3 linked regions of the Kluyveromyces lactis genome follow. The protein of the gene in region 2 purifies or fractionates together with the protein of the main gene of each other region. This does not show direct contact. Links are inferred from orthologs where the notes say so. Each region holds a gene or a part of one and is shown on either strand. Other genes may lie near its edges. The genes, in order: OPY2, SHO1 and MSB2.

What was found.
Region 1: the proteins of SHO1 (region 2) and OPY2 purify together in Saccharomyces cerevisiae (affinity purification with western blotting, with the first as the bait; 3 studies listed by BioGRID). This does not show direct contact. The link is inferred for Kluyveromyces lactis from reciprocal best matches to the Saccharomyces cerevisiae genes SHO1 and OPY2.
Region 3: the proteins of SHO1 (region 2) and MSB2 purify together in Saccharomyces cerevisiae (affinity purification with western blotting; 4 studies listed by BioGRID). This does not show direct contact. The link is inferred for Kluyveromyces lactis from reciprocal best matches to the Saccharomyces cerevisiae genes SHO1 and MSB2.

The regions. Positions count from the first base shown.
Region 1 is NC_006038.1:796,508-799,595, reverse strand, and holds OPY2 (Opy2p), read right to left. Parts: upstream 1,829-3,088; coding exon 587-1,828; downstream 1-586.
Region 2 is NC_006041.1:628,467-631,396, reverse strand, and holds SHO1 (osmosensor SHO1), read right to left. Parts: upstream 1,621-2,930; coding exon 547-1,620; downstream 1-546. Other genes in the region: DNA-binding protein kinase TEL1, read left to right, coding at 1-243; AVT5 (amino acid transporter), read right to left, coding at 1,944-2,930. UniProt on the Saccharomyces cerevisiae protein: Plasma membrane osmosensor that activates the high osmolarity glycerol (HOG) MAPK signaling pathway in response to high osmolarity.
Region 3 is NC_006039.1:1,596,087-1,600,402, reverse strand, and holds MSB2 (Msb2p), read left to right. Parts: upstream 1-1,356; coding exon 1,357-4,083; downstream 4,084-4,316. Other genes in the region: SNU71 (Snu71p), read left to right, coding at 1-435. UniProt on the Saccharomyces cerevisiae protein: Plasma membrane signaling mucin that promotes activation of the MAPK for the filamentous growth pathway. Partially redundant with the SHO1 osmosensing branch for the activation of STE11.

The sequences.
Region 1 (3,088 bases), on a different chromosome or scaffold from region 2:
CTACGGTTTGCCAGTAGGGTTAGCCTCTTTTTTTGGTTCGACGTAAGTTATTCCGGTTACTGTGGAGGGCCTGTACCCTTGGCATAAGCTGATGTGATGTTTGGGTGAGCAATTGTGATTTAAGAGTTAATCGAAGATCGGACGGGAAGCATATAGGTAGGGTAGCCTAGGGTAGCCCAGGGTAGCATAGCTTAGATATATAAAAACACTGTGGATAGGTAGTATTTTCGAAGTTGGACCGATAATTCTTGGTTCGTTGGCAAATATCGTTTGGAAATCATGTTGGCAGTGAAAATTGCGTATTAAGAGACGTTCTTTTAAGTAGTCAGATTGTGACATGATCGAGTGACATATACATGCAGGGTTCAGTAGATCCTACATTCTATTTGGAAACTTATAGAGCATCGTTGATTTATGGTATATTGCGGGGCTTGTTGGGGGAAAAGGCTCGCATATATACCGAAGGACGCAGGTGCTCCTGACAAGAATTAGCCCGATATAACAGGTCTTATTACATACTGTATCTAAAATTGTACAACTGGTGTGTTACCAAAGATTAGTGGGGAAGGGAAAGTGGTAGTCATGTTTAATGGTGATTACTTGCCATTTCCACGTCCAAGATGAATGATCCCTCGCTGTTTGAGTCAGATGATGAATGCACGGTGGTATGGAACGGATCACGTGAGTCCGAATTGGAGGAGTCCATACTATTTCTATAGTGTCGTATATCTCCTTGTTGCCCTTGTCCTTGTTCTTCTTCCTGTTGCTGTTGAGATTCATTGCCGTGTCCTGCATGACCAATTGAGTTGTCTTGAACATTCGTCTCTCTGAAATGTGATGGATTATCGGTATTGCCCGTTTCGTTAGCCTCTGTTTCGATGTCTTCTTCAGCTTCTTGATCTACTCCATGATTCGCATTTTCATCTTCATCTTCCTCAGCAGTTTCATCGATTTGAACCAATTTCGGTCTAGCTCGGATTGCAGTAGTCATATTATTCGTGGCACCCGCACCATTATTATTATTCCCTGCAAATGAACCGCTTTCTTCCTCGTTCAAATCTTGTAAGTTCTGTTGGAGCTCGTCGTCGTCATCTTCATCACCGCCAAGAATACTGGACCCCAATGTAATATGTGACTTTCGATCTGAATCCTGGTAAAATCTTCTTGAACCTCTTCCTTGGCCTTTCCTCAAATTCTTCTTCGTTAGATTCGTGGTGACACCTGGGATATATGCTACAGGGATGATATTTGATGCGGTACTGGTCTGAACGGTGGCAGCGCTACTTCTATTTCTCTTGTTCCTTTCTCTGACGCGTGATGACGAAGAGCCAACACGAAGCATGCCTGGATGAAGCGGTGATGATCCGTTTGGATCAAGACTCGTACCTTTTTCCATATATTCGGGATCCTGGGGCAATGCAGACCGTTTTCTTTTATAATATCTGTAATACAAGAAGCCCAACACCACGACTATGACTACGAATGCGACACCACCGACGACACCACCAACAATAGGTCCGACCTTATTGCTGGAAGAGGACGACGAAGAAGACGCTCCGCTAGAAATAGCAGCCGCAGACGATGATGATGATGCACTACTACTGCTTGAAGATGCCTTCTTCTGACAATAGGTTCTTGGGCATTGTGTGCACGTTAATGATGTTGTGACACAGTACTCATCATCATCACATTCCGGGCACGTTACATTGTTATCACAAGTGACACAACCATCTTGCAACGAAGTTCCGGAGCTTGCAGTACTAGTGCTAGAACTTGAAGCTGTGCTTGACACACTGCTGCTTACAGTACTGGATACGCTTTCCGACATTTTTCAAGCCGGTACTAGATCGCCAAAACTATATTTCAGTATCACTTCTATGGTGAATAGCTCTGCTGCTGAAAGAACGCGATGAGCAGAATGAATATAAAGTCAACAGACAATATTAAACCGGGAATGGCCCTGTTTATCTTGACAATAGAGAAAGAGCTAGCGGTAAGGGTGGATGGTGGAAAGACCTTGTGGTTCCTTGTCAGATACAACAGATTTTGGAAGTAGTTCAGTATGATATCTGTATGGAATCTTTGATTTTTCGCTGTCTATGGAAGAACCAAAAAAAAAAACCGAAAATACAAAACTCGAAGAGAAGACTGAAAGTGAACCAAAAGTTTTTAACTGATTGACTAATGGATTTATTGAAACTGCTCTTTATTCTATATTGTAATGTATGCCTGTAATTGGGCCAACTCCAGAATTTATAAAACGACTGATTTTTTTTTTTTGGAATAGAATACACAGGCCTCTGAGGCAAGAAACAACCCCATTCAGATTCTTTTTAAACTATTATATTTTTGGATCGCGTCAGCGTTTCAACGTGCGGAATTCTAAATTCTTTGAACGTTGTTTTACATTGCCCAAGAAAAATACTTCACCGCTTCCGTAGTACGTGAAATTCCTCATTTGTAAAGGCCTCTCACTTACCCAATACCACCTTCATTGCAATTAGCACATACCGTTCACTGGAAAATCCAGCTAGCTATCATATTCATTGCACGTTCTGGCTGAATACATGGCTCTTGGTACTTCCCGTTCTAAGCTAGCCAGTCGTCTTTCCTTTTCCTTTTCCTTTTGGCGATTTTCCAAAAGAAAAGAGTGAGCGGATCAGATCCTGAATGTTTTCAAATTCTCGAGCTTGGATTCCTGAATTCTGTGTCACGTGTGTATAAACTTTTCAGTTTTGTTTGAAAGTAACTCGGTGCAACCGGGTAATACGTTATGCAACTCAGATTATCTGTCACTTGTGCCTCCCCTCCCCTTCAACTTAAAAGGTTACAAGCGTACACAGAGTTAACACAGAAATAGTCAACGGGTTCACGATACAGTCCCAATACATATCTGTACCTGATCGCGGCTGCGGGACATTAAAGTACTTTCTGTCATTCTAATTTAAACGAAGAAATCAATTGATATCTTGAGCTAATTCATGTTTTTGTGATACTATATAAGTATAAAGGGTATCATCTTCCTGGATTCAATCTTGAACCGTAGATTAATAACTTATAAGAGACTAAATCCCGCTAGTTAGATGTT
Region 2 (2,930 bases):
TTGCAAGCAAAGTTTACTGGTGATTATGATGAGGAGGAAATTAGTGTTTCCGATGCAGATTTCAGCGAGCTTTTAGAAGAAGATAATAATAATGATGAATCCATAAGAGCACTAAAGGGAGTTGAAAGTAAGTTATATGGAGACGGTTTGAGCGTTGAAGCAATTGTTCAGGAGCTTTTGTCCAGTGCTACTGACAAACAAAATTTAGCGACAATTTACATGGGATGGTCCCCATTTTATTAAGATTGATGTGTTTGAAGTTCTTACTCGAGATGAAGACTTTATTATACTACCAGCACCTGAAGCGATTTGCAAGCAGTATAATTATAAATAATAGCATATTCATTAAATAGCATGATTCATTCGAAGCAAGTATTTGCGTGTTAATGAAGAATTCAGTAACTGTGTTGATAAAAGCACTTGAATTTTTCGCGAATAAGGTTGATAAGCCGGTTGTTATTGCAAACTGTGGAAATAATATAATATAAAAGACGATACACAAATCAAATGTTTAATGATACAAACTGATGGGAGGCAGTAATAAAATCAGTGTGATTTCCCATCCAAAAGCTTAACGTAATTACTTGGGATAATCCCTGTTTCCCCGTTTGACTTCTTGGCTTTCCACCATCTACCCTCGATATCACCAACCCTGAGAATTTCGCCCTGTTCGAAGGATATTTCATACGCGTCAGTTTGGTCCGCTTGATAGGTATATAAAGCCTCTGCAGTGTATGGGAAACTGTTTAATTCTTCACCAATGTCACTGTATAGGCCTAATGTGTCTCCCATGGTAGTATCTGTGTTGGCATTGGTGGTATCTGTGATGAAAGTGCCAGTGGCCTGTGTATTCAGTGTAGCAGTATTTTGCGCATTAACATCAAGGTTTGGTTTCGAAGAGGAATGATCTGTATTTTCAAATCCGTTCAGCACTGTAGACGACACATACTTTGTAGACGATTGAAGTTCTGGCGCATACATGTTGCCACTGTGGCCCTCACCTTCGTCATCGTGGTGGACATCAGGCAGAGATGCTGAACGCAAGTCTTCCTGGTATTGGTATGGGTAAGAAGGTTTGACCGGCAGTCTCTGCGATCTGGCAATAGCCATGGATGTCTCTAGCACCGAAGGACGAATTCCGCGTAGTGAGAACGAATCGATCCATCTATTGGTTGGAGATGCATTATCTCCACCAAAATAAATCACCCACACCAAATTGATCATGGATAACAAGATAAATCCTGCTGCTGCTGCACCACTCTTGGACCCTTCATAGTACACAATACTGTTAGTACTATTCGAAGTATATACGAATGCGATACCAACAGCACAAGTAATGAACATTCTATAGTAGTCAACTAAATCCAAACAGTACACGATAAAAAGCGTAATCATTAGTAGTATCTCGTAAACTATAGTCCACCAAGAAAATCTTGGGAATGGAGACGTAGATGCTGCAACAGCAATGGATCCCGCCAATGCAATGATCCATGAGATCAATGCAATACTAAGTGTGCCTATGGCAAAAGGATCGCCCAAAAATGACGAGATGTTAAATTGATGAGATACATGCGGATTCTCCCTTACAGCACGGGCTTGACTTGCTTTAATCAACGCCATCTCTCTGTTTGCAGATATTCCCTTGCCTCGCTGGACTATTGGAACACTTGTGACAACACAACAACTAAAATTGAAATAAACTTGCTTCAAGTTCAAGTATGTTCGTATTGATTACTTTTTATATTTATGTATATACGGTATACATTTATCATTTTTTTTGGTGTCTGTCTACAATGAGAGATGAGTTATTTTTTGATCATGTGACAGGCAGCAACCAAAGGCTCGCTAGGAATACGCGGGCCGCTTATTTAGAGTGTCAATCGGGAGTACAATTGGTAGCAGTATCAATGGTTAGTCTCTAGTACCCTGTTTATCCTGTACCCTCAATGTGTCGCATGTAGAAATATGGTAGCACTTAGTGAAGTTATCATGACGATGAATCCCCAAATAGCAAGTAACAATGAGATAATTCTCAAGATTCGTTCTTTTGCTGGTGGTACAACGGATTTGGCGTACTCCGATGCGATTAACTTGTAGCCAAATATTCCAGGTAAGATGAAGGATATAGAAGTGGATCCGGTTGCTCCTACTATTGACAAAACGTTTGCTAGCGACGTAACACTCATAGCGAGGATGTACGAAAATAATAGGATTCCAGACGTGATAAAGATGAATCTAGGGCCTTCTAACGTTACTACTGGAGGCTGATTAGCGCTGTTTTCTTCAATTAATTCGTCTTCGCATTCGTAGGTTAACTGTTCGCTAGATTCGAGTTCAGAGTCCCGTAATAGACTGTTTTGTTCTGCACTTGTGGTTGTCATTGGGGGATGGGTGTTCCCCTTGGAGAAGTAATGTAAGATATGATTGACAGATGCTCTAGCTGGATGACATTGTAGCGGGAAGGCAAGGATCACTAACAATGCTATAGCTATTCTACCGATGGTGCTGGAAATGGAGTTTGGGTATAAGGTGATAATGTTACCAGTAATATGATCACCGAAGGTGCAATAACCTAGCGCTCCAATGGAAATGTACAAAGACATTGCTAGCGTAATGGCAATCCTAATCAATTTCGTTATACTGTCTAAAGATTTGTCTGATTGTTCATTGATGATGGAAAACATGTTGTGATGGCAAGTATACGCGAAAACGAAAATTGGAAAACTGCTTAGCATGGATGAATCCACATCACTGGGTTTCCAGATGCTAACATGGCCTCTTAAATGGTCGATTTCGCTATTTGGAACGGCAAAATGGAAGACAACTAATACGCATAAGTACCCAACTGCTGTAATTGCAATGGAAGAAGTGTACCTTAAAGAGTCTAACTTCTTAATGAAACACAACGGTGTCACGATGATCAACGTAAC
Region 3 (4,316 bases), on a different chromosome or scaffold from region 2:
AAACGGGAATCTGAAGAAGTACCAAAGAAAAAAGCAACAGAAACAGAGCCAGAGACAGAACTAGAGCTAGAGCTAGAGCCAGAGACAGAGACAGAGACAAAATTGGTATCGGACGCAGATGCGACAACGGCTGCACCAAAGATTAAATTAGCACTAAAGAAATCCATTGGAAAGACAAAGAATGAGATAGAAGAGGAAGAGACTCCTGAAACCGATGCGTTCCAACAGAAGTTGAATCTACTAAGGGAAAGCGGCGTAGTGGAAGAACTCGTCAAAGAATACTTGGGAGTTTACGAGCCCGACTTAGTCTCATATATCTTTGAAAACATCGAAGAACATCAATCGAAACAGGCACTCGAGACTGAGCTTACAGAGACGTTCGACGAAGATAGCCCTGTCCTAGTGAGCCGTATATGGGAAGCGATGGAACAGTAGTGGAATATACCATACATGTGAATATACATATATATGTATATGTAGGTATGTGTGTCACATGTCTAATAATGAGATTCTATTACCCGGTTACGTCTCACGTGACTGTCACGAAATTTTTTCGCCCGATTCGAGTGTTCCAGCCAGATCGGGCGGTAACATGAGGTTACTAGAGGTCCGGGTAATCGTGTTTCATATTGATTCGCGTTTTGTATATCGTATATAGCGATACATTCTCAACTTCACCAATTTTTTACCAGATCCAGAACGGTTACAGGAAGAATTGGCAGGATGAGATAAACAAAGGAACAAACATAGAGATTCTATTACTTGTAACTTATGTACACACCTGATAATGGTGGAATTTAGTTTCTGTTTTCGTTCGGGTTGCTTTAGGCAAAAGATAATAAGTTTTTAGATTCGAGATTTATCGTCAGGGTCAAACTTTTCAACAAAGAACGTTACCAGTGGTAATATTTTGGTGTATACATCTTTCTTTTCTTTGTGTTCCTCCATTCATTCATTTATTGATTCATCTCAAATTACTTATAAGTTTTTTATACATTTGATAAGAAGGATCTATTAGAGGTTTTTAATAAAGAAAGATTATCAGAACTGACCTACTGATCCAAATTACCTTCCAATCCTCAGTCTTTAGGAAACTGCCATCGTTTGTTTAGTGAGCTTATACTTTGAACGTGACAAGAGCTTCAGGCAGGTTGAAGTGTACTATCGATCTCTGTTTTTTTTTTCCCCGTCCCATTGTTTGGTGATATAAAATTATTACTTATTATTACGGATTGCCGGTTTGTCATTAGAAAACTTTGAGAATCTCAGGTTTGAACTAAGGCCTTCGGCAAAACTTTGATTACTTTTCCAACTATTTTACATTCTTTTTTCATTTGATTTCATTCGCTTAACACGATGCAATTTTCCAATTTAAGGTTTTTGTTAACCGTTATATTCTTGGGCAACTTTTTAGTATCTGCCCAAGGATTCCTGGATTTTTTCCAGACTTCTCGTTCTGATAACTCTACTAGATCCATTCAGAGTACCGAGACCAGTTCCAGCACTGAGAGCAGTTGGAAAACTACTTTGAATTACGATTCATTGACAGTGGCAGAACCATCCACGTTCTCGCTTTCTTCAAGCACGCACTCTAAGAGTCGTACGAGAAATGGTAATGGCGATGATGATTCGAGTAGTACTTCAGGTACCACTTCTGTGTTGACTCCTTCATCGATCACCTCTTCTGCGATCTCACGTTCTACCAGTGGAAATGGTATCCCATCTTCTGAATACTCGGCTTCCTCCTCGAGCACTGCAAGCGATTCTGCTAGTGTAACTACTCTATCCGGTTCCTCCGCTCTTTCTTCTGAGACTACCTCTTTTGGGACTTCTTCAGCTGAAGATTCTTTTGTTACGACAACTGTTACTGAAACAGGTTCTGCTGAAAGCAGTAGTGATACAGCTTCCTACATCACCGATTCTGCTTCTCAGGTTTCTTCTTCATCAGTCCTCTCGTCCGTGGAATCCTCTTCTACTGAACCATCCACTTTTTCTGTTGTAACATCATCAATTGAGCCTTCTTCAACTGAACAAATTACTTCTGATGAAACGTCCTCAAGTGATGGTGGATATTTCGTTACAACTTTCACTTTCCCTCCTGTTACTTCTTCAACTGAATATTCCACTTCTGATGAAACGTCCTCAAGTGATGGTGGATATTTCGTTACAACTTTCACTTTCCCTCCTGTTACTTCTTCTACAGCATCTGACGAATCTATCCCATCATCAACTACCGATGAATCCACTGGTATTCAATTCCCCACTTCGCGGTCCACAGATGTTTCTTCGACTACTGATGAATCAACTGGAATTTACTTCCCTACCTCAAAATCAACAGAAGTTCCTATATCCACTACTGAGTCCACTGATAATGATTTCTCCACTACAGAATCAACAGAAGTTCCTATTACCACCACTGATGAATCAACAAGAATTTCTCTCTCCACTACAGAATCGACCGAAATTCCTACCACTACGGAAGAACCAACTCCTTCTACTACAAGTGCCGACATCGTGGAACCAACTACCACTGAAATTCCATTAAGCACTACTAGTTTGGAACCTCTACCAGAAAGCAGTACCTCAGAATCTATTCCAGAGCCTTCAACCAGTACTATCCTCACGGAGGAAACATCATCATTGCCAATTGAAACTTTATCGACTTCTGAACCATGGGCTACTGATGACATTCAAATCTCTTCATCAGTGTTACCTCCATCTCAAGATGTTGTCTCATCAGAAACAGTGGTTAGTACATCTGCTCCATCAACAGATACTGAGACATTGGCTCCAACAAGTGCTACTACATCACTTCCAAGCATTGTTACCAAACCAATTGAAGAACCATCATCAAGTACAAGCCAGGTTGGAAGCACTTCCGTAGTTTCTACCGTTGAACCAGTTGTTTCACTACCTTCCACTACTACAGAGCAGCCAGTGTCCACAACACAACAAGTTTGGTTGCCTACTACCATGGTAGCAGAATTCGAAACATCTGGTACTCAATCTACATCTACCACATCTTCAAAGATCGCTACTGAAACATTGCCTCAAGCTATTACAGCTGCCACTGAAATTGTGCAACCTGCAGGATATACGCTAATTACCGTTGGATTCAAGAAGGAGTTGAATTATCCATTTACTGTCAACAATCCCGTTTCTAACGCTCAAATTTTTGAATTTTTGCCAAAGGTTTTGAACTATCCCTTCAATGGGGCCCAAAAATTCGATAATACTTCAGTTTTGGAGTTAGTTCCATTAAAGGTTACAAGTTTAGATTACCTTGTCACTGTTGCAAAAGTATATTTCCCAGAAGATTCTGTCTCGACTCTTCAAGCGCAGATTTTGAACTCTTCCAGTGTCATTTACAATAACGATGTAACAGCATTAAAACAGCTTTCATCGTACATTGATGCCTCTATTCCACTAACTGGTCTTGTCAGTTCAGATTCTGGTTCCTTAATTTCGTCAGATTCTGACTCTGGATCTGACTCTGACTCTGATTCTAGCTCTAACTCTGACTCTGACTCTGGCTCTGGCGGATCTGACTCGACTAAAGAGAAGTCGAGCAGCGGCAGTGCAATTAACTTGGGTTCCTTAGACGATCAAAACTACAACCCAGGATCAAGCAACTATTCCTCTAGTAGTTCAAGCAAATCTTCTACAGGTACGAACGGGAAGACCATCGGAATTCTGGTTGGTTCCATTGTCGGTGGTTTCTTGATAGCCTTGGTTTGCATCTGCTTACTTGCAGTGAGAATTAGAAACAAGAAGAAGCAACTTCAAGCTAATCCAAATCTAGATGACCAACATTCTTACGACAGTTATGATTACGAATCTTCGTTCGATTTTAATCCAGTTGTTGAAAAAGGTAACGTTATGAACGACGACCAGGTGTCAATCAGCCCAAGTGCTAAGATTAATAACTGGATTGATTATAACACTTACAGCGATTACCCTGAAGATGCTGCTTCTGTCGCAAATAATGGGGAAAAACAACCTCAACTTTCAACAAAGACATCTAGTTTGAAAATTTCGAAACCAATTGCCACAGAAAACTCATTAGGTTGGAATGACTTGTAATGGTAAAATTTGATTCACCGATCTTGTATTCTGTTCTTGCTTTTTTCTCCACTAAATGATACCCACGAGAGGGTTGCTAAAATGGTGCTCGACCATTTGCAACACCGCTTTGCTCTATTTTTTACCGATTACGTCCAATAAAGTCAAATGACTAATTGGACCAATGTATTATTCACTAAAGATTAGTATTGTGAAAGTTCGAAACATCAATACGTATTTCAATTCTTTTTCCT